4 linked regions of the Saccharomyces cerevisiae S288C genome follow. The gene in region 2 interacts genetically with the main gene of each other region. Each region holds a gene or a part of one and is shown on either strand. Other genes may lie near its edges.

Evidence for each region.
Region 1: mutations in MCK1 (region 2) and ARO1 together harm fitness more than expected from each alone (negative genetic interaction), as found in Saccharomyces cerevisiae (5 studies listed by BioGRID, with this or other methods).
Region 3: mutations in MCK1 (region 2) and SNF4 together harm fitness more than expected from each alone (negative genetic interaction), as found in Saccharomyces cerevisiae (5 studies listed by BioGRID).
Region 4: mutations in MCK1 (region 2) and INO4 together harm fitness more than expected from each alone (negative genetic interaction), as found in Saccharomyces cerevisiae (5 studies listed by BioGRID).

Annotation. Positions count from the first base shown.
Region 1 is NC_001136.10:701,809-710,543, forward strand, and holds ARO1 (pentafunctional protein ARO1p), read left to right. Parts: upstream 1-2,675; coding exon 2,676-7,442; downstream 7,443-8,735. Other genes in the region: ECM18 (alpha/beta hydrolase family protein), read right to left, coding at 1-950; palmitoyltransferase SWF1, read left to right, coding at 1,426-2,436; MTC5 (Mtc5p), read left to right, coding at 7,741-8,735. UniProt on the Saccharomyces cerevisiae protein: The AROM polypeptide catalyzes 5 consecutive enzymatic reactions in prechorismate polyaromatic amino acid biosynthesis.
Region 2 is NC_001146.8:54,160-59,246, reverse strand, and holds MCK1 (serine/threonine/tyrosine protein kinase MCK1), read left to right. Parts: upstream 1-1,673; coding exon 1,674-2,801; downstream 2,802-5,087. Other genes in the region: BXI1 (Bxi1p), read left to right, coding at 1-349; mitochondrial 37S ribosomal protein uS11m MRPS18, read right to left, coding at 439-1,092; KRI1 (Kri1p), read left to right, coding at 3,350-5,087. UniProt on the Saccharomyces cerevisiae protein: May be an autophosphorylating tyrosine kinase, a bifunctional (serine/tyrosine-specific) protein kinase, or a serine kinase that is a substrate for an associated tyrosine kinase.
Region 3 is NC_001139.9:290,487-295,287, forward strand, and holds SNF4 (AMP-activated serine/threonine-protein kinase regulatory subunit SNF4), read left to right. Parts: upstream 1-1,546; coding exon 1,547-2,515; downstream 2,516-4,801. Other genes in the region: ubiquitin-protein transferase activating protein CDC20, read left to right, coding at 1-1,155; YGL114W (uncharacterized protein), read left to right, coding at 2,974-4,801. UniProt on the Saccharomyces cerevisiae protein: Adenine nucleotides-binding subunit gamma of AMP-activated protein kinase (AMPK), an energy sensor protein kinase that plays a key role in regulating cellular energy metabolism.
Region 4 is NC_001147.6:110,396-115,108, reverse strand, and holds INO4 (Ino4p), read left to right. Parts: upstream 1-3,222; coding exon 3,223-3,678; downstream 3,679-4,713. Other genes in the region: WSC3 (Wsc3p), read left to right, coding at 1-971; YOL107W (uncharacterized protein), read right to left, coding at 1,979-3,007; ZEO1 (Zeo1p), read right to left, coding at 4,471-4,713. UniProt on the Saccharomyces cerevisiae protein: Transcriptional activator of phospholipid synthetic genes (such as INO1, CHO1/PSS, CHO2/PEM1, OPI3/PEM2, etc.).

The sequences.
Region 1 (8,735 bases), on a different chromosome or scaffold from region 2:
AATGGTCCCATCATTCTCAAAATGTGAAATTGTTGTTCAAATAAGTATTTTGGAATCATATTTCTTTTGGAGTAAAACTTGGAATTTGGATTTTTAAAATCGATAGTATAAAGAGTGTTGGAGTGGAAATTATTATTTACAGACCAGATATTCCTTTCCACTCCTAGTGGGGATACCAAGCAAAGTTTGTTTACCGAGTTTGGATATTTAACAGCATATTTAAAAGATAAATATCCGCCAAAAGAATGCCCCACAACATTCATTTTGCCCAATTTGTTATCAATGCGCCATTGCTCGATTCTGTCGAGATAGAAATCTTCGTACATTTGAATCACAAATTTATTGTGATTTGCATTTATTGTATATGGAACCTTAAATTTATTTTCTCCAATAAATTTGATATCTAACGGCAGAGGTGTTGTTGTATTGATCTCTAAAGACGGTACTGAAGACAATCCGCTCGCTGGCATGTCAATTGAGTATAAATTTCGGATGTGCTTGGACAGACCTGGATAATTTCTGAAAAAAGACATTGAAGATGCGGCATAGCCATGTATCAGCAATGTTGGTGTTCGAACAGTACTTGTGTTTTCATTTTGGAAATGCCATTGATTTATTTCGTTGAATAACTTATCATTCTTTTTAATACCTTCAACGTGTACCTCTTCCATAATACGTCTCTGTAATTCCTCCAGCCGCATATAAGTTTTGTGTGGGTTATTCAAATGGCTTGACCATAGCTTGAATCCAGATTTTTTGACAGCATTTTCCTCCTTGGGTCTAAGAATCCTTTCCAAAATTTTTCTCTGGAGACTCTTTTCACGACGTTTAACTTCCAGTAGGCTTCTATTACTGTGGAACGCTCTCTTCCACATGTAACATTTATATACATTCATTATCTGCCTCCTTAAACTTTCAGGGTCCATCAAGTACCTCTTTATTAAAAGCATTTTTCATTCGCTCATCCTTAAACTGGAAAGGCATAAGGAAACTGTCAGAATATATAAATAGAGGTGTAAAACATGTGAAGCTCTGTGGAGTTCTAAGCTGGAATCGAAACAGTTGTCTCAATTTTAGTAATGTCCAAGGGCTTTCCAGGAGGTCAGTATATTCAAAGCCAAAATAATTAATGTTTTGGTCTGAATTTTTATTTTTCAAAAATGAGGTGAAAACCTCCAACGAAACTTTTTAATTAAAACCATCCGATACAGAATTTTAAATCATCTAAAGCATTTATTCGGCATTTTATCCTTGAATAACGTACTATGCAACTCATATAAATACTACAATATACTTTCTCTTTAGGAAATTCGTAGCTATCAACAAAGGTAGTGTCATTGTATATATACTTCCGCCTTCCTAAAAAAAACTTCATTATGCCTCCAAAGAAGATATCTTTGTCTCCTAACATGAAAAGAACAAACAATGTCATGGAATCTACTATTTGTGCTGCTAATAGGATTCGTAGTTTTGATATTACTTTCGCCCGTCTTCAAGTCAACATGGCCATTTTCGACTTTCTATCGTAATGTGTTTCAGCCCTTCCTAGTGGATGACCAAAAATATCGTTGGAAGTTGCATTTAGTACCTCTTTTCTACACCTCTATTTACCTGTACCTAGTATATACATACCACATGAGAGTGGAGTCTACGATTAAGAATGAGCTATTCCTTTTAGAACGAATACTGATCGTGCCTATAATTATACTACCGCCGGTAGCATTAGGAATTCTAGCCATGGTAAGCAGAGCTGAGGATTCAAAGGATCATAAATCAGGCTCGACAGAGGAATATCCATATGATTACCTATTGTATTATCCTGCCATAAAGTGTTCGACATGCCGGATCGTCAAGCCTGCTAGATCCAAACATTGTAGCATTTGCAACCGATGCGTTCTCGTCGCCGACCATCATTGCATCTGGATAAATAACTGCATCGGAAAGGGAAACTACCTTCAATTCTACCTTTTCCTAATTTCCAACATATTCTCGATGTGCTACGCCTTTCTAAGGCTGTGGTACATTTCTTTAAATAGCACAAGTACGCTCCCTAGAGCTGTTCTGACTCTTACCATATTATGTGGATGCTTCACTATCATCTGCGCTATTTTCACGTATCTTCAATTGGCCATTGTAAAGGAGGGAATGACTACAAATGAGCAAGATAAATGGTATACCATTCAAGAGTATATGAGAGAAGGAAAACTGGTGAGATCATTGGATGATGATTGCCCATCTTGGTTTTTCAAATGCACAGAACAAAAAGATGACGCTGCTGAACCACTCCAAGATCAACATGTTACGTTTTATAGCACGAATGCCTACGACCATAAGCACTACAACCTTACACACTACATCACGATTAAAGACGCGTCCGAAATTCCCAATATATATGACAAAGGTACCTTCCTGGCCAATCTCACAGATTTAATATAGTAAATTGTCATGCATATGACTCATCCCGAACATGAAATTTTTTTTCACTCGGTTTTTTCTCACCGCCATAGATTCTAACCGCAAATGTCGAACAAATTCATTATACAAGCGGTTTATTAATATAGAAGGTAGGACGCCGACTCGTAACCATTAGTAACAGATCACAGCTATACTCGGTCGTTCAAGTTTATATAATCTCCTAGTTGAGAAATCCCTACGTAAGATAATTGTATATTACGATGGTGCAGTTAGCCAAAGTCCCAATTCTAGGAAATGATATTATCCACGTTGGGTATAACATTCATGACCATTTGGTTGAAACCATAATTAAACATTGTCCTTCTTCGACATACGTTATTTGCAATGATACGAACTTGAGTAAAGTTCCATACTACCAGCAATTAGTCCTGGAATTCAAGGCTTCTTTGCCAGAAGGCTCTCGTTTACTTACTTATGTTGTTAAACCAGGTGAGACAAGTAAAAGTAGAGAAACCAAAGCGCAGCTAGAAGATTATCTTTTAGTGGAAGGATGTACTCGTGATACGGTTATGGTAGCGATCGGTGGTGGTGTTATTGGTGACATGATTGGGTTCGTTGCATCTACATTTATGAGAGGTGTTCGTGTTGTCCAAGTACCAACATCCTTATTGGCAATGGTCGATTCCTCCATTGGTGGTAAAACTGCTATTGACACTCCTCTAGGTAAAAACTTTATTGGTGCATTTTGGCAACCAAAATTTGTCCTTGTAGATATTAAATGGCTAGAAACGTTAGCCAAGAGAGAGTTTATCAATGGGATGGCAGAAGTTATCAAGACTGCTTGTATTTGGAACGCTGACGAATTTACTAGATTAGAATCAAACGCTTCGTTGTTCTTAAATGTTGTTAATGGGGCAAAAAATGTCAAGGTTACCAATCAATTGACAAACGAGATTGACGAGATATCGAATACAGATATTGAAGCTATGTTGGATCATACATATAAGTTAGTTCTTGAGAGTATTAAGGTCAAAGCGGAAGTTGTCTCTTCGGATGAACGTGAATCCAGTCTAAGAAACCTTTTGAACTTCGGACATTCTATTGGTCATGCTTATGAAGCTATACTAACCCCACAAGCATTACATGGTGAATGTGTGTCCATTGGTATGGTTAAAGAGGCGGAATTATCCCGTTATTTCGGTATTCTCTCCCCTACCCAAGTTGCACGTCTATCCAAGATTTTGGTTGCCTACGGGTTGCCTGTTTCGCCTGATGAGAAATGGTTTAAAGAGCTAACCTTACATAAGAAAACACCATTGGATATCTTATTGAAGAAAATGAGTATTGACAAGAAAAACGAGGGTTCCAAAAAGAAGGTGGTCATTTTAGAAAGTATTGGTAAGTGCTATGGTGACTCCGCTCAATTTGTTAGCGATGAAGACCTGAGATTTATTCTAACAGATGAAACCCTCGTTTACCCCTTCAAGGACATCCCTGCTGATCAACAGAAAGTTGTTATCCCCCCTGGTTCTAAGTCCATCTCCAATCGTGCTTTAATTCTTGCTGCCCTCGGTGAAGGTCAATGTAAAATCAAGAACTTATTACATTCTGATGATACTAAACATATGTTAACCGCTGTTCATGAATTGAAAGGTGCTACGATATCATGGGAAGATAATGGTGAGACGGTAGTGGTGGAAGGACATGGTGGTTCCACATTGTCAGCTTGTGCTGACCCCTTATATCTAGGTAATGCAGGTACTGCATCTAGATTTTTGACTTCCTTGGCTGCCTTGGTCAATTCTACTTCAAGCCAAAAGTATATCGTTTTAACTGGTAACGCAAGAATGCAACAAAGACCAATTGCTCCTTTGGTCGATTCTTTGCGTGCTAATGGTACTAAAATTGAGTACTTGAATAATGAAGGTTCCCTGCCAATCAAAGTTTATACTGATTCGGTATTCAAAGGTGGTAGAATTGAATTAGCTGCTACAGTTTCTTCTCAGTACGTATCCTCTATCTTGATGTGTGCCCCATACGCTGAAGAACCTGTAACTTTGGCTCTTGTTGGTGGTAAGCCAATCTCTAAATTGTACGTCGATATGACAATAAAAATGATGGAAAAATTCGGTATCAATGTTGAAACTTCTACTACAGAACCTTACACTTATTATATTCCAAAGGGACATTATATTAACCCATCAGAATACGTCATTGAAAGTGATGCCTCAAGTGCTACATACCCATTGGCCTTCGCCGCAATGACTGGTACTACCGTAACGGTTCCAAACATTGGTTTTGAGTCGTTACAAGGTGATGCCAGATTTGCAAGAGATGTCTTGAAACCTATGGGTTGTAAAATAACTCAAACGGCAACTTCAACTACTGTTTCGGGTCCTCCTGTAGGTACTTTAAAGCCATTAAAACATGTTGATATGGAGCCAATGACTGATGCGTTCTTAACTGCATGTGTTGTTGCCGCTATTTCGCACGACAGTGATCCAAATTCTGCAAATACAACCACCATTGAAGGTATTGCAAACCAGCGTGTCAAAGAGTGTAACAGAATTTTGGCCATGGCTACAGAGCTCGCCAAATTTGGCGTCAAAACTACAGAATTACCAGATGGTATTCAAGTCCATGGTTTAAACTCGATAAAAGATTTGAAGGTTCCTTCCGACTCTTCTGGACCTGTCGGTGTATGCACATATGATGATCATCGTGTGGCCATGAGTTTCTCGCTTCTTGCAGGAATGGTAAATTCTCAAAATGAACGTGACGAAGTTGCTAATCCTGTAAGAATACTTGAAAGACATTGTACTGGTAAAACCTGGCCTGGCTGGTGGGATGTGTTACATTCCGAACTAGGTGCCAAATTAGATGGTGCAGAACCTTTAGAGTGCACATCCAAAAAGAACTCAAAGAAAAGCGTTGTCATTATTGGCATGAGAGCAGCTGGCAAAACTACTATAAGTAAATGGTGCGCATCCGCTCTGGGTTACAAATTAGTTGACCTAGACGAGCTGTTTGAGCAACAGCATAACAATCAAAGTGTTAAACAATTTGTTGTGGAGAACGGTTGGGAGAAGTTCCGTGAGGAAGAAACAAGAATTTTCAAGGAAGTTATTCAAAATTACGGCGATGATGGATATGTTTTCTCAACAGGTGGCGGTATTGTTGAAAGCGCTGAGTCTAGAAAAGCCTTAAAAGATTTTGCCTCATCAGGTGGATACGTTTTACACTTACATAGGGATATTGAGGAGACAATTGTCTTTTTACAAAGTGATCCTTCAAGACCTGCCTATGTGGAAGAAATTCGTGAAGTTTGGAACAGAAGGGAGGGGTGGTATAAAGAATGCTCAAATTTCTCTTTCTTTGCTCCTCATTGCTCCGCAGAAGCTGAGTTCCAAGCTCTAAGAAGATCGTTTAGTAAGTACATTGCAACCATTACAGGTGTCAGAGAAATAGAAATTCCAAGCGGAAGATCTGCCTTTGTGTGTTTAACCTTTGATGACTTAACTGAACAAACTGAGAATTTGACTCCAATCTGTTATGGTTGTGAGGCTGTAGAGGTCAGAGTAGACCATTTGGCTAATTACTCTGCTGATTTCGTGAGTAAACAGTTATCTATATTGCGTAAAGCCACTGACAGTATTCCTATCATTTTTACTGTGCGAACCATGAAGCAAGGTGGCAACTTTCCTGATGAAGAGTTCAAAACCTTGAGAGAGCTATACGATATTGCCTTGAAGAATGGTGTTGAATTCCTTGACTTAGAACTAACTTTACCTACTGATATCCAATATGAGGTTATTAACAAAAGGGGCAACACCAAGATCATTGGTTCCCATCATGACTTCCAAGGATTATACTCCTGGGACGACGCTGAATGGGAAAACAGATTCAATCAAGCGTTAACTCTTGATGTGGATGTTGTAAAATTTGTGGGTACGGCTGTTAATTTCGAAGATAATTTGAGACTGGAACACTTTAGGGATACACACAAGAATAAGCCTTTAATTGCAGTTAATATGACTTCTAAAGGTAGCATTTCTCGTGTTTTGAATAATGTTTTAACACCTGTGACATCAGATTTATTGCCTAACTCCGCTGCCCCTGGCCAATTGACAGTAGCACAAATTAACAAGATGTATACATCTATGGGAGGTATCGAGCCTAAGGAACTGTTTGTTGTTGGAAAGCCAATTGGCCACTCTAGATCGCCAATTTTACATAACACTGGCTATGAAATTTTAGGTTTACCTCACAAGTTCGATAAATTTGAAACTGAATCCGCACAATTGGTGAAAGAAAAACTTTTGGACGGAAACAAGAACTTTGGCGGTGCTGCAGTCACAATTCCTCTGAAATTAGATATAATGCAGTACATGGATGAATTGACTGATGCTGCTAAAGTTATTGGTGCTGTAAACACAGTTATACCATTGGGTAACAAGAAGTTTAAGGGTGATAATACCGACTGGTTAGGTATCCGTAATGCCTTAATTAACAATGGCGTTCCCGAATATGTTGGTCATACCGCTGGTTTGGTTATCGGTGCAGGTGGCACTTCTAGAGCCGCCCTTTACGCCTTGCACAGTTTAGGTTGCAAAAAGATCTTCATAATCAACAGGACAACTTCGAAATTGAAGCCATTAATAGAGTCACTTCCATCTGAATTCAACATTATTGGAATAGAGTCCACTAAATCTATAGAAGAGATTAAGGAACACGTTGGCGTTGCTGTCAGCTGTGTACCAGCCGACAAACCATTAGATGACGAACTTTTAAGTAAGCTGGAGAGATTCCTTGTGAAAGGTGCCCATGCTGCTTTTGTACCAACCTTATTGGAAGCCGCATACAAACCAAGCGTTACTCCCGTTATGACAATTTCACAAGACAAATATCAATGGCACGTTGTCCCTGGATCACAAATGTTAGTACACCAAGGTGTAGCTCAGTTTGAAAAGTGGACAGGATTCAAGGGCCCTTTCAAGGCCATTTTTGATGCCGTTACGAAAGAGTAGACAATAATATATCTATCCTTTTTTATATTTTACAATGCTTCTATGATATCTTTACTAAGTATGAGTTGCCAAATAGTCAGTGTGACTGCTTACATACGTTGAATTTCTGTATATTTTTACTAAGTTGCAACAGTTAGATAATTACAAGTTACCCTTACATTCTGTGGGATGTAGTCGAAGAACATCTCAGAGTAGGTCATCAAAAGATGCAAATCAGCTGAGCACCCCACTTTCAAAAACATTGTAAGATATTTGAGGGAAATCGCCTCTGGCCCGTTTATTCACTGAAGAATTAATTATGTGCAGTAGTATAAATGAAGGTCCGTATAATTCGCCCACTTTTGGAAAATCATTATCGTTGAAAGTAGATGGTGGGTTCAATGCCGTATCTATCAATCCCTCTGGTAGGGATATTGTTTTGGCCAGTCGGCAAGGTCTTTATATTATCGACCTGGATGATCCGTTTACACCTCCAAGGTGGTTGCATCATATTACGCCCTGGCAAGTTGCTGATGTACAATGGTCGCCACATCCCGCAAAACCATATTGGATAGTCTCGACATCGAATCAAAAGGCAATCATATGGAACTTAGCAAAATCTTCATCAAATGCCATTGAGTTTGTACTTCATGGGCACTCAAGAGCAATTACAGATATAAACTTCAATCCGCAACATCCGGATGTTTTAGCTACCTGTTCAGTCGATACGTATGTACATGCTTGGGATATGAGAAGTCCACATAGACCATTTTATTCGACAAGTTCATGGAGATCTGCTGCTTCTCAAGTGAAGTGGAATTACAAGGATCCTAACGTCTTGGCATCTTCACATGGAAATGATATATTTGTGTGGGATTTGAGAAAAGGCTCCACTCCCCTCTGTTCTTTGAAAGGCCATGTAAGCTCCGTAAATAGCATAGATTTTAACCGGTTCAAATATTCTGAAATTATGTCGAGTTCGAACGATGGGACGGTGAAGTTTTGGGATTATTCAAAAAGTACGACAGAATCAAAGAGAACTGTAACAACAAATTTTCCAATCTGGAGAGGACGTTACCTTCCTTTTGGAGAAGGTTATTGTATTATGCCAATGGTTGGAGGCAATAACGCAGTTTATCTGATTAATCTATGCGACGATGATGACAGTGAACAAAATAAGAAGACGAAACTCCAGCCAATATATGCATTTAAAGGGCATAGTGACCGAGTAATTGACTTTCTTTGGAGATCAAGACATACGTGCGATGGGGATTACGACGATCGTGAATTTCAATTGGTTACTTGGTCCAAAGA
Region 2 (5,087 bases):
CGTCGTAGTCGGCGTTTCCTTGACCGCACTATCAGAGAGATTCGAGAACGTGCTGAATTCCGCAACGTCAATATACTATTGGTTAAACTGGGGTCTATGGATTATGATCGGAATGGGTCTCACGGCCTTGCTTTTCGGCTGGAATACCCACTCTTCCAAGTTTAATCTGCTTTACGGCTGGCTTGGTGCCATTTTATTTACCGCGTATCTTTTCATCGATACGCAACTGATTTTTAGGAAAGTGTATCCTGATGAAGAAGTTAGATGCGCCATGATGCTTTACCTGGACATCGTCAATTTGTTTTTGTCTATTTTAAGGATTTTGGCCAACTCTAACGACGACAATTAAAAAAAGGGAAAAATCGAATTATTTACACGAATATATATATATTTCTTCTTCTTTTACATAGTTTATAATTCATACATAGTGGGAGCTGATCATAGTCTTCTCATCTTTGGTGATCTTACACCACCAAACTTCAATTTGGTGGCATCGCTGATCTTCACAACCTTTTTCACCACACTGGCCCCTTCCTTACCAACAAGAGCGGAAATAAAAGCAGCTCTGCCCTTCCCAAAGTCGTCCATCACCACTTCGATATCTTTGTTCAGCATGTTCTTTTCCTTAATCAATTCAAACATTCTACCACTGGTTTGAAATGCAGCTTCATACTCCCCTCTTGCTGCCTTCCTAAACCCTAAACAACCTGTAGATAGCGAAATCTTCACTTTCTGGGGTAAGTTCAAATAGTACAGCATTGTATCATTATACGTAAGTCCCTTATTCTTATGAAAGTTCTTGTCCTCCACAACGCTTGAAAATGTCAAATGCGTGTTATTTTTAGTAAACTTGCCATGTAGAATGTACTTAACTACTTCCTCTTTGGGCTTGTAAACCTCACTACTACCATTTGACTTTGTCAAAACTGAGTCAGAGGACGAAGGATACGAGATATTCGTGATATCCTCCTGATTTGAAATATCCTTAAATGAAAAAGGAACTCCTCTATTCGTGCCGGTAGAATTCCATCTTCTGATAGGCCTGACAAACTGCGTCCATCGGCAGCCTTTCCAAACAGGTTGTAACAGCATCACACGTAACTATAACAGTTCACACTGTCACTTTTTCTTTTCAGAAGAACCACTGCTTTCCACCTGATTTACTCTCATTTTGTCTTCCCTCTTTCCCAATTCATCGTTATTATGCCAAACAGTCACGAAGTACGAAACAAACACTCTCCGCTGCTATAGAAAGTTCCAATCTTAGGCTGAATAATGGAATACTAGTAGCTCAGTGATTATCATCATAATTGAAGCTATCATTAAAAAGCATGCAGCCATATTATGCAGGAATTATATGATCACACGTAGCTGTAGTGGCTTTCGAAAGCAGCATTCTTGCTTCCACTCAGTTCGTATGTAATGACAGTTCAGTGACCCACAAACAACACTGAAAAAAGCGACCTTCATATGCGGAAGAGGGCAGGCGTAACCTCCAAGGGAAAACGACATAGATTTCGCAAGTGAGTGCCATTGTGTCGTGTTAGTAGTGTGGGCAGGCCCGTAACGTGTTTATTGATAGGAGTTAAGCCCAAGACTACAGAGTTCTTTGCTTCATCTTTCAATTTTCTTTTTATTTTCCGAAACCCCCACTCCATCACATTCTAGTACATATGTCTACGGAAGAGCAGAATGGTGTTCCTCTGCAAAGGGGATCTGAATTCATTGCAGACGATGTAACCTCGAATAAATCGAACAACACGAGGCGGATGCTGGTGAAAGAGTACAGGAAAATCGGTAGAGGTGCCTTTGGGACTGTTGTACAAGCATATTTAACCCAGGATAAGAAAAACTGGTTGGGCCCCTTTGCAATTAAAAAAGTCCCTGCTCATACCGAGTACAAGTCCAGGGAATTACAGATTCTGAGGATTGCCGACCATCCAAATATCGTTAAATTGCAGTATTTCTTTACTCATTTGTCCCCGCAAGATAATAAAGTTTATCAACACCTTGCCATGGAATGCTTACCAGAAACTCTACAAATCGAGATTAATCGTTATGTGACAAACAAGCTAGAAATGCCATTAAAACATATCAGGCTATACACTTATCAGATTGCCCGCGGGATGCTTTATTTACACGGTCTTGGCGTTTGTCATCGTGATATCAAACCATCCAATGTTCTTGTAGACCCGGAAACCGGTGTCTTGAAAATCTGCGATTTTGGGTCTGCCAAAAAATTGGAACATAACCAGCCTTCAATTAGTTACATCTGTTCAAGATTTTATAGAGCGCCTGAATTGATCATTGGTTGTACCCAATATACCACCCAGATCGATATATGGGGGCTTGGTTGTGTCATGGGCGAGATGCTTATCGGCAAAGCCATATTTCAAGGTCAAGAACCCCTTCTACAGCTAAGGGAAATTGCTAAATTGTTAGGTCCTCCCGATAAAAGATTCATTTTCTTTTCGAATCCGGCCTACGATGGCCCTCTATTTTCCAAACCACTGTTCTCGGGCTCTTCGCAACAGAGGTTTGAGAAGTATTTTGGCCATTCCGGTCCAGATGGTATCGATCTTTTGATGAAAATATTGGTCTACGAACCACAACAAAGACTGTCTCCAAGAAGAATCCTTGCCCATCAGTTCTTTAATGAATTAAGGAATGATGACACTTTCTTACCAAGAGGTTTCACTGAACCAATCAAGCTACCAAATTTGTTTGATTTTAATGATTTTGAGTTACAAATTCTGGGTGAATTTGCTGATAAAATTAAACCTACGAAAGTTGCTGAATAATAATTTTCTATTAATTTGTTCTCTTTCCCCTCGGAAAATTTAATGAACAAAATACTATGATTTTTTTCACCTTTGATCCGCTGTTTATATTTCACTTGGAAAAGAAAAAAAATTTTTTGGAATAAAATATATTCAAATTTCCATTTGATATTATCATACACTTCTTTTATCCAGTCACTCCTTCAATTTCTTCTTTATTTTTTATTTTATGTTCCTAATTTTTTTTTATCTCTTTCCTATTTCCTGTTCTTTTATTAATCTGAAATATTATTATTACTTTAGTGTTAGTTTATAATTTTAATTAGGCCTACGTGGCTTGTAATAAATTGCCTCGCATGTTATCATTACTTATATAAAAGTATTATTGAAATACCGTCGTTATTTTTTGATATTTATGTGAGAAAAAAGTATTACCCGGAGGAGCCGCAAGGTCATCGGTTAAAATTTTTCAAATATATCAATCTCATCTCATCTAGTTAACAGAACCATTTCTTCAGAAAGCAAAATGCTCATAGTTTTCAACAACAGTGTGATATACCCTAAATTCAATGCCAAGAAAAAAGTCTGCCGCTAAAAGAGCTAGAGAACAAGCAAAAAAAGAAGCGGCCGTACCTGCAACGGATACTGCTACCATAAAAACTTCTGAAACCTCTGCGACGACAGTTAAGCCTGCAATCGAAGCAAGCAAATCGTACGTTCCTAGTGAAGATGAGGAAGAAGACGAAGAGGAAGAAGAGGAGGAAGATGATTACGGTGAATTGATTACTGATGAAGTGGAAAACGGTATTAATCAAGTGCTAGATGCCATCAAAAACAATAAGACGGACAAACTACTAGATCCTAAAGTCAAATTCTTCGAGGATCCCGAATCTGCTGCTGCCAAACTGGCCAATCGTGAGGGGAAGCATAAACCTATTTACCTAAAAGATTATCACCGTATGAACATACTTTCTGGTGATGCCTTAAAGGAGGATGACGAAGAATACGAACATGCAACTGTTGACGGAAAGCAATCTTTCGTCTCGCAACAACGTGAAGAGAAAACTCAGCTTTTAAATGAAATCAAGAGTGCCTTTAGCGATGAAGAAAATGAAGAGTCTAGCGGAGATGAAGACGATGGGTTTTTGAAGAAAAAGGAACCTTCTACGAAGAAGGAAGGAAAAAATTTACCGGATCCAACCGTAAATGAAGAAAATTTCTTGGAAGAATTTGTGAATCAACAGGCCTGGATTCCTAAGAAGGGGGACAAGGTGATTTCTCTTGACCTCAACAATAATGAAGAGGACGATGAAGAATTTGAAGATGCTGCAGAAAAATTTGAGAATGCCTACAATTTTAGGTACGAGGACCCAAACGCAGCTGAAATTATATCTTATGCACGTAGTCAAGCTACACTAAGAAGATCCGATGACTCTTCACGCAGAAGAAAAAGAGAGGAAAAAAGAAAAATTAAAGAGCAAATAAAAGCAGAGAAGGAGACAGCTCTTCAGAAAAAGAAGACTAAAAAATTGAATAAATTGACTGACATTTTAGAGCAACTAACAAAGGAATATGGTGCTGAAATTAATGCCGACATGGTGAAAAAAATCACTGACACCCTATTGAAGAACGATTTCAAAGAAGAAGAGTGGGATAACGTGGTAGCTGAATTATTTAATGAAGAATTTTATCAACAAGAGGGAAAGCCTACCTGGAACGAGGATGACGAAATAATGGGTGACTTTTATGCAGACGCCGATGGTGATGACCAAACAGAAGAAGGTGAAGTGGAAAAAGAACAAAAAGAAGAAGACGAGGAAGAAGGTCCAAAAAGAAAGAAGAGCAAGAAAGAAGAGAAACTGCAAAAGAAGAAAGAAAAGAGAAAGGTAAATGAATTAGTGGAAAATGCTTTGGAACAAAACAAACTAGCACTAATAGAGGAGGTTGAAAAAGAAGAAGAAGAAAGAAAGAGTAGAAGCCGTACAAAAGAGGAGCAAGATTTGAAGTTTCGTTACCGTGAAGTTTCTCCTGAGAGTTTCGGTTTGACCGCAAGAGAGATTTTCGCCGCCGATGATACTGATTTAAATGAATTTATTGGTTTGAAGAAATTTGCACCTTATCGTTCCAAGGAACTAAGAGCGAAGGATAAAAGGAAAGTGATGAAGGCAAGAAGATTAAGAGAGTGGAGGAAGAAAACTTTTAAGAACGAAAATGGGTTAGCTCCAGTCGAAGCAGAGGCAGGGGAGAAGGATGAGGACACCATACTGATACCTGTAGAGAAAGCCTCTAAAAGCAAACACAAGAGGG
Region 3 (4,801 bases), on a different chromosome or scaffold from region 2:
CATTATAGTTATCAGCAGGAACAAAAAATTCCTGATTTAATTAAATTAAGGAAAATCAATACCAATCCGGAAAGAATTCTTGATGCACCTGGTTTCCAAGACGACTTTTATTTAAACTTGTTAAGTTGGTCCAAAAAAAATGTCTTAGCTATAGCACTAGACACTGCATTATATCTGTGGAATGCCACCACTGGGGATGTTTCCCTGTTAACGGATTTCGAAAACACCACAATATGCAGCGTTACGTGGTCTGATGATGATTGTCATATCTCTATCGGTAAAGAGGATGGGAACACCGAAATTTGGGACGTTGAGACCATGTCATTAATTAGAACTATGAGATCAGGCTTAGGTGTCCGTATCGGTTCATTGTCTTGGTTAGATACTTTGATAGCTACAGGCAGTCGTAGTGGAGAAATTCAAATCAATGATGTCAGGATCAAACAGCATATTGTATCTACATGGGCAGAGCACACAGGCGAAGTCTGCGGTTTGAGCTATAAAAGTGACGGATTGCAACTTGCATCTGGTGGTAATGATAACACTGTAATGATTTGGGATACCAGAACGTCCTTGCCTCAATTTTCCAAGAAGACGCATACTGCTGCTGTAAAAGCACTAAGCTGGTGTCCATATTCGCCAAATATTCTAGCCTCTGGAGGCGGACAAACAGATAAACACATCCATTTTTGGAACAGTATCACAGGTGCACGAGTTGGCTCAATCAATACCGGATCCCAGGTGAGCTCTTTACATTGGGGCCAAAGTCATACGTCAACCAATGGTGGTATGATGAATAAAGAGATTGTTGCCACAGGAGGTAATCCAGAGAATGCAATCTCTGTTTATAATTATGAAACAAAATTCAAAGTTGCAGAAGTAGTTCATGCTCATGAAGCAAGAATATGCTGTTCTCAATTGTCCCCTGACGGAACCACATTGGCCACAGTGGGAGGAGATGAAAACTTAAAATTTTATAAGATATTTGATCCAAGATGTACAGGAAGATCGAGAGAAGACGGATTGATGGATGGTATGCTAGGACTTATTGGCAAGGAAGGTTGTCGAACAAATGATAAGGAGAATCGTTCCAAAAATTCGAGTGAGATTCATACAAGGAGGCCCTCTAGTACCAGCCAATATTTGATCAGGTGATAAAATAAAAAAAATAAAAGTTCATGTCAAGGCATATAATGAAATTTCCATACACGCATACATAATGTATAAACATAAATGTATTCAAGAAGCTTAAGAAATAAAAGTAATGAACCTTGAGAATACATCAAGATATAACTCATCACATGTTAAAGAACCCACACACCACACGCGCGAGAACTGGGAGGGAGAGAAATTTAGCAAATAACAAAATTTAGGCCTTGGAAGAAACCATAGCAATGCAATAATCGTTATTAACATAATATCTACATTGAGAACTTCTTGGGCTAGTGGTTTTGCTGCAAACTGGAAAATTGTATCAATCTTTTAACGTTAGCTAAACATCTTCTGCTGTGTTAGCATTAGGAGGAAGCGAAAAGGAAAATACATAATGAAACCGACACAGGATTCACAAGAAAAGGTTTCTATTGAACAGCAGTTAGCTGTAGAATCGATAAGGAAGTTTTTGAACTCGAAAACATCTTATGACGTGTTGCCTGTTTCTTACCGTTTAATTGTCTTGGACACCTCGTTGTTAGTGAAGAAATCACTGAATGTTCTTTTGCAAAATAGCATTGTCTCTGCGCCATTATGGGACTCCAAGACTTCCAGGTTCGCTGGACTTCTAACTACTACAGATTTTATTAATGTCATCCAGTATTACTTCTCCAATCCAGATAAGTTCGAATTAGTAGACAAATTACAGTTAGATGGATTAAAAGATATAGAGCGTGCTCTCGGTGTTGATCAACTAGATACAGCTTCAATTCATCCTTCTAGACCCTTATTTGAGGCGTGTCTTAAGATGTTAGAATCAAGAAGTGGTAGAATACCACTGATCGATCAAGATGAAGAGACACATAGAGAAATTGTCGTTAGTGTTCTTACGCAATATAGAATTCTGAAGTTCGTTGCTTTAAATTGCAGGGAAACACATTTTCTAAAGATTCCAATTGGGGACTTGAACATTATTACGCAAGATAACATGAAAAGCTGTCAAATGACCACTCCGGTCATAGACGTCATTCAGATGCTTACCCAAGGTCGGGTTTCTTCCGTCCCTATTATTGACGAAAACGGCTACTTAATCAACGTATATGAAGCATACGATGTCCTAGGCTTGATAAAAGGAGGCATCTACAACGACCTGTCATTGAGCGTCGGAGAAGCCCTTATGAGGAGAAGTGATGATTTTGAGGGTGTTTATACATGCACTAAGAATGATAAATTATCTACTATTATGGATAACATCAGAAAAGCAAGGGTGCATAGATTCTTTGTAGTTGATGACGTCGGACGGTTGGTTGGTGTCTTGACGTTAAGCGATATTCTCAAATATATCCTTCTAGGTAGCAACTGAAACGAGCCGATGAGATTTTTGTGTACATACTATAAATAAATGCAACTAATAAAGTCATGATTAATCAGTCATGCATACTTCATCTGACCAATATATTTTCATCTTGCTTATTTTGGGTATAATTCGGCGGAAATTCGGTTATAAAGCGAAGTGAAAAATCGATTAGTAATGATACTGATGCGATCTCTGGGAGGGGGGAATGCTGCATATAAGGGTGAAGGAAGATAATGCAAAGCCTTTTGTAGTATTGTCTGTTGATACCAAAATAAATTAGTTCATCAAAAAGGTACAGGCAGCTAAAGAAAAGCTGTAAATTTAACGCCGTAGAAGGTATTTTTCGTGAGATCTATCTCAAGGCATCATTTTTTTTATTTTCGCACCAAGATAGGAAGAAAAAGAGTCACAGTATAGAGGACTAACCGTTAAAGATTCTAAATCGGTACTGTAAATACTTTGAAATGCCTCAATCTACTCCAAGTCAAGAAGTACAGCGTGTACCATGGGATAATAAACCTGCTTTGAAGCAGATAACACTCCGAGCAACCATAGCAGGTATCGCTATAGGGTCTCTGGTGCTAACATCAAATTTTCAATTTGGCCTGCAAACCGGTTGGGTTTCCATGATGTCCCTGCCATCGGCATTGTTAGCTTGTGCTTTCTTTAAAAATATCTGGCCATTAATATTTCCGAACGACAGGCCTTTCAGTGACGTTGAAAATGTATACGTACAAAGTATGGCAGTAGCTGTCGGAACAGGCCCATTAGCCTTTGGGTTTGTCGGCGTCATACCTGCCATCGAGAAGTTCCTTACTAACGACGAAAGTGGTGGATTAAGGGAACAAGGACAGTCCTTCACTTTTAGAGAATTGTTAATATGGTCCACAGCCCTAGCATTCTTCGGTATTTTTTTTGCAGTTCCTCTAAGAAAGCAAGTAATTGTTAGAGAGAAACTTCCCTTCCCCAGTGGTAGCGCCACGGCCACTTTAATTTCAGTGCTAAATGGAACTGAGATTTTACAAGAGGTTTCTAAGTCAGAGTTATTGGAAATGAGGCAGAGGAGATTGAATGAATGCCCTGAAGTGCTACAACCCAACAGAGATCCAGAGGAGGCGGATTATTTAATGAACTCTTCTCATAGCGAACTTGGTGATTATACGGCAACTAGCCAAGATGGAAGTTCTATCCTTTCTACTGGCTCTGAGAACTACAGAGCGAATATTATTATTTTATTGAAAACTTTTGTTGTTTCTTCGCTTTACACCATGGTGTCATATTTTGTACCGGTAATACGGTCTATTCCAGTCTTCGGAAAATACCTCTCGAACAATTATCTCTGGAATTTTCAGCCGTCGCCTGCGTATATAGGCCAAGGGATAATAATGGGTCTTCCAACAGTATCGTATATGCTTATCGGGTGCTTCTTAGGCTGGGGTGTGTTAGCACCATTGGCGAGATACAAAAGATGGGTACCACCAGATGCTGATGTCCACGACTGGGAGGAGGGAGTGCAAGGATGGATTCTTTGGTCGTCGCTTTCAATAATGGTTGCTGACAGTGTAGTCGCTTTTATTGTTGTGACAGTGAAGTCCATTGTGAAATTTATTCTTATAGATGACAAAGCTGCTTTACTGAACAACATAATCGATGATACATTTCAATCTATGTTACTGGAGGAGGAACGCGCCATTAATAGCAGCAGAAGAAATACATATGTTGATGGAAGGCAGGACACCGTAAGATTAGTGAGTAGAGATAACGAAATAGAAGTAGATTCGAAGCATTTGGTTCGCTATACCACCGTTATCAGTGGATGTCTAGTCTCCTCGATAATATGCATTGTTTCCATAATATATTTGTTTGGGATACAAGTAATTCCCCTATATGCTATTATCACTGCTTTGATACTTGCGTTGTTTCTATCTATTCTCGGTATTCGAGCACTTGGAGAGACCGATCTGAATCCTGTGAGCGGCATTGGTAAGATCTCTCAATTGATTTTTGCCTTTATCATACCAAGGGATAGACCTGGATCAGTGTTAATGAACGTGGTATCGGGAGGTATTGCAGAAGCCTCTGCCCAACAGGCGGGCGATTTAATGCAGGATTTGAAAACGGGGCACCTCCTCGGCGCCTCCCCAAGAGCTCAGTTCTGTGCCCAATTGATAGGGGCCTGTTGGTCAATTATTTTGTCTAGCTTCATGTATTTGTGCTACAATAAAGTTTATTCAATTCCGAGTGAGCAATTCAGGATACCGACAGCAGTAGTGTGGATAGATTGTGCAAGAC
Region 4 (4,713 bases), on a different chromosome or scaffold from region 2:
CTACCACCTCTTCTACCACCTCTTCTACTACCTCTTCTACTACCTCCTCTACTACCTCCTCTACTACCTCTATCTTTTCTGTTACGTCTAGCTCCTCATCCATTACATTGTCCTCATCTGAGCATACCACAGTCGATAGCCGTACTTCTTCACCCTCTTCCACCTTGGTGCCAGTGTCCTCGAGTAGCAGCACACTATCAACTCCAAAAGTGACCTCAATGACCCCTAGTACGTCATCAACGATACCAATAGTTACCTCAGTGGAACTAGTGACTAGTGTGGTTACAAAAGCGATCGTGAGTACTTCTGATCAACATCAGGAAACAATATTTGTTACGAGGACATCCGTGGTTGAACGATCTTCTGAGGTAGCTACTGCTACTGCTGCCGCCTCAAATAATAGATCTAATTCGACTTCGAAGCAGCGTCTGAGTGGTGGAGCCATTGCCGGTATTGTTATTGGTGTTGTGTTTGGCGTAATTTTTATTATTTTGATTCTATTGTTCCTGATATGGAGGAGACGGAAATCGCACGACCAATTAGACTTGGAGGAAACGAAACATTATCAGCCCTATTCGTTCGGTGATGAGGATGCAAATCCAATAGGACCGCCTCCCTCCTCTGGTACGACAAATTGGATGAGACATTCAAGGGGTAATACAGCGGGTTCTATCGGTACAAGTAATATGTATGGTTTTTCTATGAGTAATGGTGCAAATTATAGTAGTCCTAGTTCAAACACCAGTGGAAGCATCATAAACAACTTGGCTGGCTTACAAGATGCTACGGTTCAGAAACAGAACCTTCCATCGACAGTTTTTGAAGAGGCAAATACTTTGAATAGTGCAAATGAAAGGTTCAGTGCCAATTCTTTACCCGACATGATGATGAGCGGACCATTGCAAGTGGTAAACCCTGATAATCCTGATAATCCTGAATTATCTAGTACCGTATCTCATAATCGAGCCTGAAAAACTCGCATAAACTCTCAACATTAATGGTAATCAACTGGTTCTGCTGGACGGAGCCATTCTAAATCATTAACTTTATAATATCATGTTTTATACCCTAATATTTAAACAATTTACTGCTTTTGGCACTTCAACTGTTAGAAAAAGAACAATAATATTTAGTATTTAGTTTCATTTTTAAATTTTCTGATTCACTTCATTTGCAGCTTCTAATGATGTTTGTGGTACAAAAATATAAACAATTTTAAAATATTAAAAAAAAATGCTTCCAATCGGATTTGAACCGATGATCTCCACATTACTAGTGTGGCGCCTTACCAACTTGGCCATAGAAGCTAAATCTCTGAAAGCTGCGCTCTTCAAAGGCGAACCAAGCAAGATAAATTAATATTATTATGTAAAACTATCGTTTTCCTTTTGTTGATTCCTATATCCCGGAGAAGAACTACTAATTATCAAATTATTCACCAAATGATCAAATTTAGCAGCGTAGTGAGTGCCACTATGTAGATGTTGGAATAAAAACCAACTATCGTCTATCAACTAGTAGTCATACTATCAATATATTATCATATACGGTGTTAGATAGTGACATAAGTTATTATAGAAGCTGTCACCGAAGTTAGAGGAAGCTGAAATGCAAGGATCGATAATGTAATAGGATAATGAAACATATGAAATGGAATGAGGAATAATCGTAATATTGGTACATAGAAATATAGATTCCATTATGGGGATTCCTATATCATCGAGGAGAACTTCTAGTACATTCTGTATACCTAATATTATAGCCTTTATCAACGATGGAATCCCAACAATTATTTCAAAATTCACCCATTTCTCAGTAGAATTATTAATATTGGGGAATATATGGGTTTCTATGGTTCGATAGTACTGGCGCACATTCAGCATACAAATCCTACTACCTTGGTAAAGACCGAAATGCCAACAGCCGTCATTAAATCACGATATAATAGAGCATATTTCAAGTTATATAGATCCATATATCAAGGGTTTACCATACGCTCTTCCAAAACTTGTAAAGCTAACTGTCTTCGTCTTTCTTCTACAGTCATAATTTTTTTGGCGCCTCTACTTTCTGCGATGGTGTTCCCAATATCTATATCAATATCATGAAAAGGTTTAATGACTTTAAATTTTACAACAACTACATTATAAATGAAATTGAAAATCGGCCTCAAAATCGGCTTAATTAGATCAGGAAAGAAGTAAATCAATTGAAAAGTATCAGATGCATCGCCGACCAATATTTCCTGACCACCTTGAGAATTAGTTGTTGGCAAAGAGGGACAATTCAAGGGTGCAAGTTTCTGGAAAAACCTCAAGTACGACCAACTGGCAAAAAAGGTAACCCAAATGGAGAACAATTGAGCAAAATGATGAAACCATATTATTTGGGTTACCGTCATTGTAAACATTACAAAAATGGGTAGTAATTTGAACCTAAAGTTTTTGGCCAAAAATTGAGGTGTCTTCAGATGGATTATAGTTGTTTCAGGCAATAACTGTCTATAAATGATAGGGAAACCGATTAAAATTGTGTAGTTCCCGTCTAAGGGAATATCCAGCCTTACCTTATTAGAGAAAAAAGATACTAACAAAGTCAGCATGATGATCAGAACGTTTGTAAGAGAACCTAAAACTATGATAAATTTGAACATTTCTTTGGAAGAGTTCCAATTGCGTTCAATGAAGGATCCACCAATGATCAAATTCAATAAGTTCACTACCACCTTCCAAGCTTTAGTGTCGATGAAGTTGGATAGAACTAATGAGGTGGGGTACCTCCAAATCTGCGAAGGTACCATTTGCAAAAGCGGCGAAGTAATCAAGTTGTAGTCCAAGTTAGGGTCTTCAAGAACTAGCTTGTTGTACAAGGATCTCCTTATACAGAAAAGGGTTGCAGTTAAGCATATATAAGTGACTGTAATAAATTTAGTAGCATCAGGAATCTTATTGATATTTAAAAATGAATCCGGGATATTCAATTCTAGGAACCTCGAACTATATTGCATTATAGTGAACAAATATCTTTGTTATAAATAGATTAGTCGTCTTCTTTTTCTTGGCTTGGTTTGTATGAGCTTGTTACGTATCAAACAAAATATTCACATGTTTTTCTCACCTTAAAGACAGAGGCGCGATTGCGTTTGCGAAATTCCAATGCCAACAAGATAAGCTTGACGAAGGAGTTAAGAGGGCGGCTTGAACTAAAAAGAGAAAAGCAATAATGACGAACGATATTAAGGAGATACAAACAATACAGCCGGGATTGTCCGAGATTAAGGAGATAAAGGGTGAACTGGCTAATGTGAAGAAAAGGAAACGCAGGTCTAAGAAGATTAATAAATTGACTGATGGTCAAATACGTATAAATCATGTTTCGTCTGAAAAAAAAAGGAGAGAATTGGAAAGAGCTATATTTGACGAACTGGTAGCAGTAGTACCTGACCTGCAACCCCAGGAAAGTCGGTCAGAACTAATCATATACCTGAAAAGCTTGAGTTACTTAAGTTGGTTGTATGAAAGGAATGAAAAGCTGAGAAAACAAATCATAGCTAAGCATGAGGCAAAAACCGGCAGCAGCAGCAGCAGCGATCCCGTACAAGAACAAAATGGAAACATTCGGGATTTAGTACCGAAGGAGTTAATTTGGGAGCTGGGTGATGGACAGAGTGGTCAGTGATTCAAGGAGTAGGGTAAAGTAAGTAATATAAGCGAAGAAATTCTTCCCATACCTTTTCTTCACTTTGCAGAGGGGAGTGGTGCATATCCCACAAAGAAAAGTAGCAACAACAATGATATATATACGTTACTACTAATGCTTTCCTTCATCGAAAGTGTGCCGAAGTATTTATTTAATCTTTTAGTGTTCAACTTACTATAATGTGATACTTTTTCAATATTGTTTGCCGTTGAAGCGATAGTGCTTTATGTCATTTTATCTTTCTTTTACATTGTTTTATTTTAGAGCTAAAATTGAACATCAGTTTGCAAGAAGTCAGTTGGTTGGCCTTTGCTATTAAGAGACCATAATGTTATAGTGATTGAGATCAGTTTCACCAACTAATAACAATTAACCCGGGCGGTTAGTGTAGTGGTTATCATCCCACCCTTCCAAGGTGGGGACACGGGTTCGATTCTCGTACCGCTCATATTTTTACTTTCTTATCAAACTTTTTTTCCTCCGGGACGTGAAATAACCGCCGAGGTTATTCTCGGAGCATTCTTTTTTGTGGCTTTTGATCATCCATCATCATCATCATCATCATTATTACTACTACTACTACTACTACTATTATTATTATTATTATTATTATTATTAGTATTATTATTATTATATTGATTAGTTATTAGATAGATACAATTAAGAAAAATTTATGTAAAAGGTCAGAATAAACAGCATTTTTCTCCTCTTTTTTTATTTTTAAAAAAAGAAAAAGAAACTTCTAGTAAAGTGCAGCACATTCAAGTGTGATTAGTTGAAAATGGAAGCAATTTTACGGTTCAATTTCTTCAAGAAACCGCCTTCCTTCTTGGTTTCCTTCTTCTCACTGACGGCGGCGGAAGCTTGCTTCTTAGTTTCTTCAACTTTGTTGGCAGCTTCGGTCTTCTTTTGTTCGACACCATCAGCAATGTTTTGTTCTTCCTTCTTCACCTGTTCAGCTTCTGGAGTAGCTTCATTTTTTAGGTTGTCGATAGAAGCTTCAGCTTGTTCCTT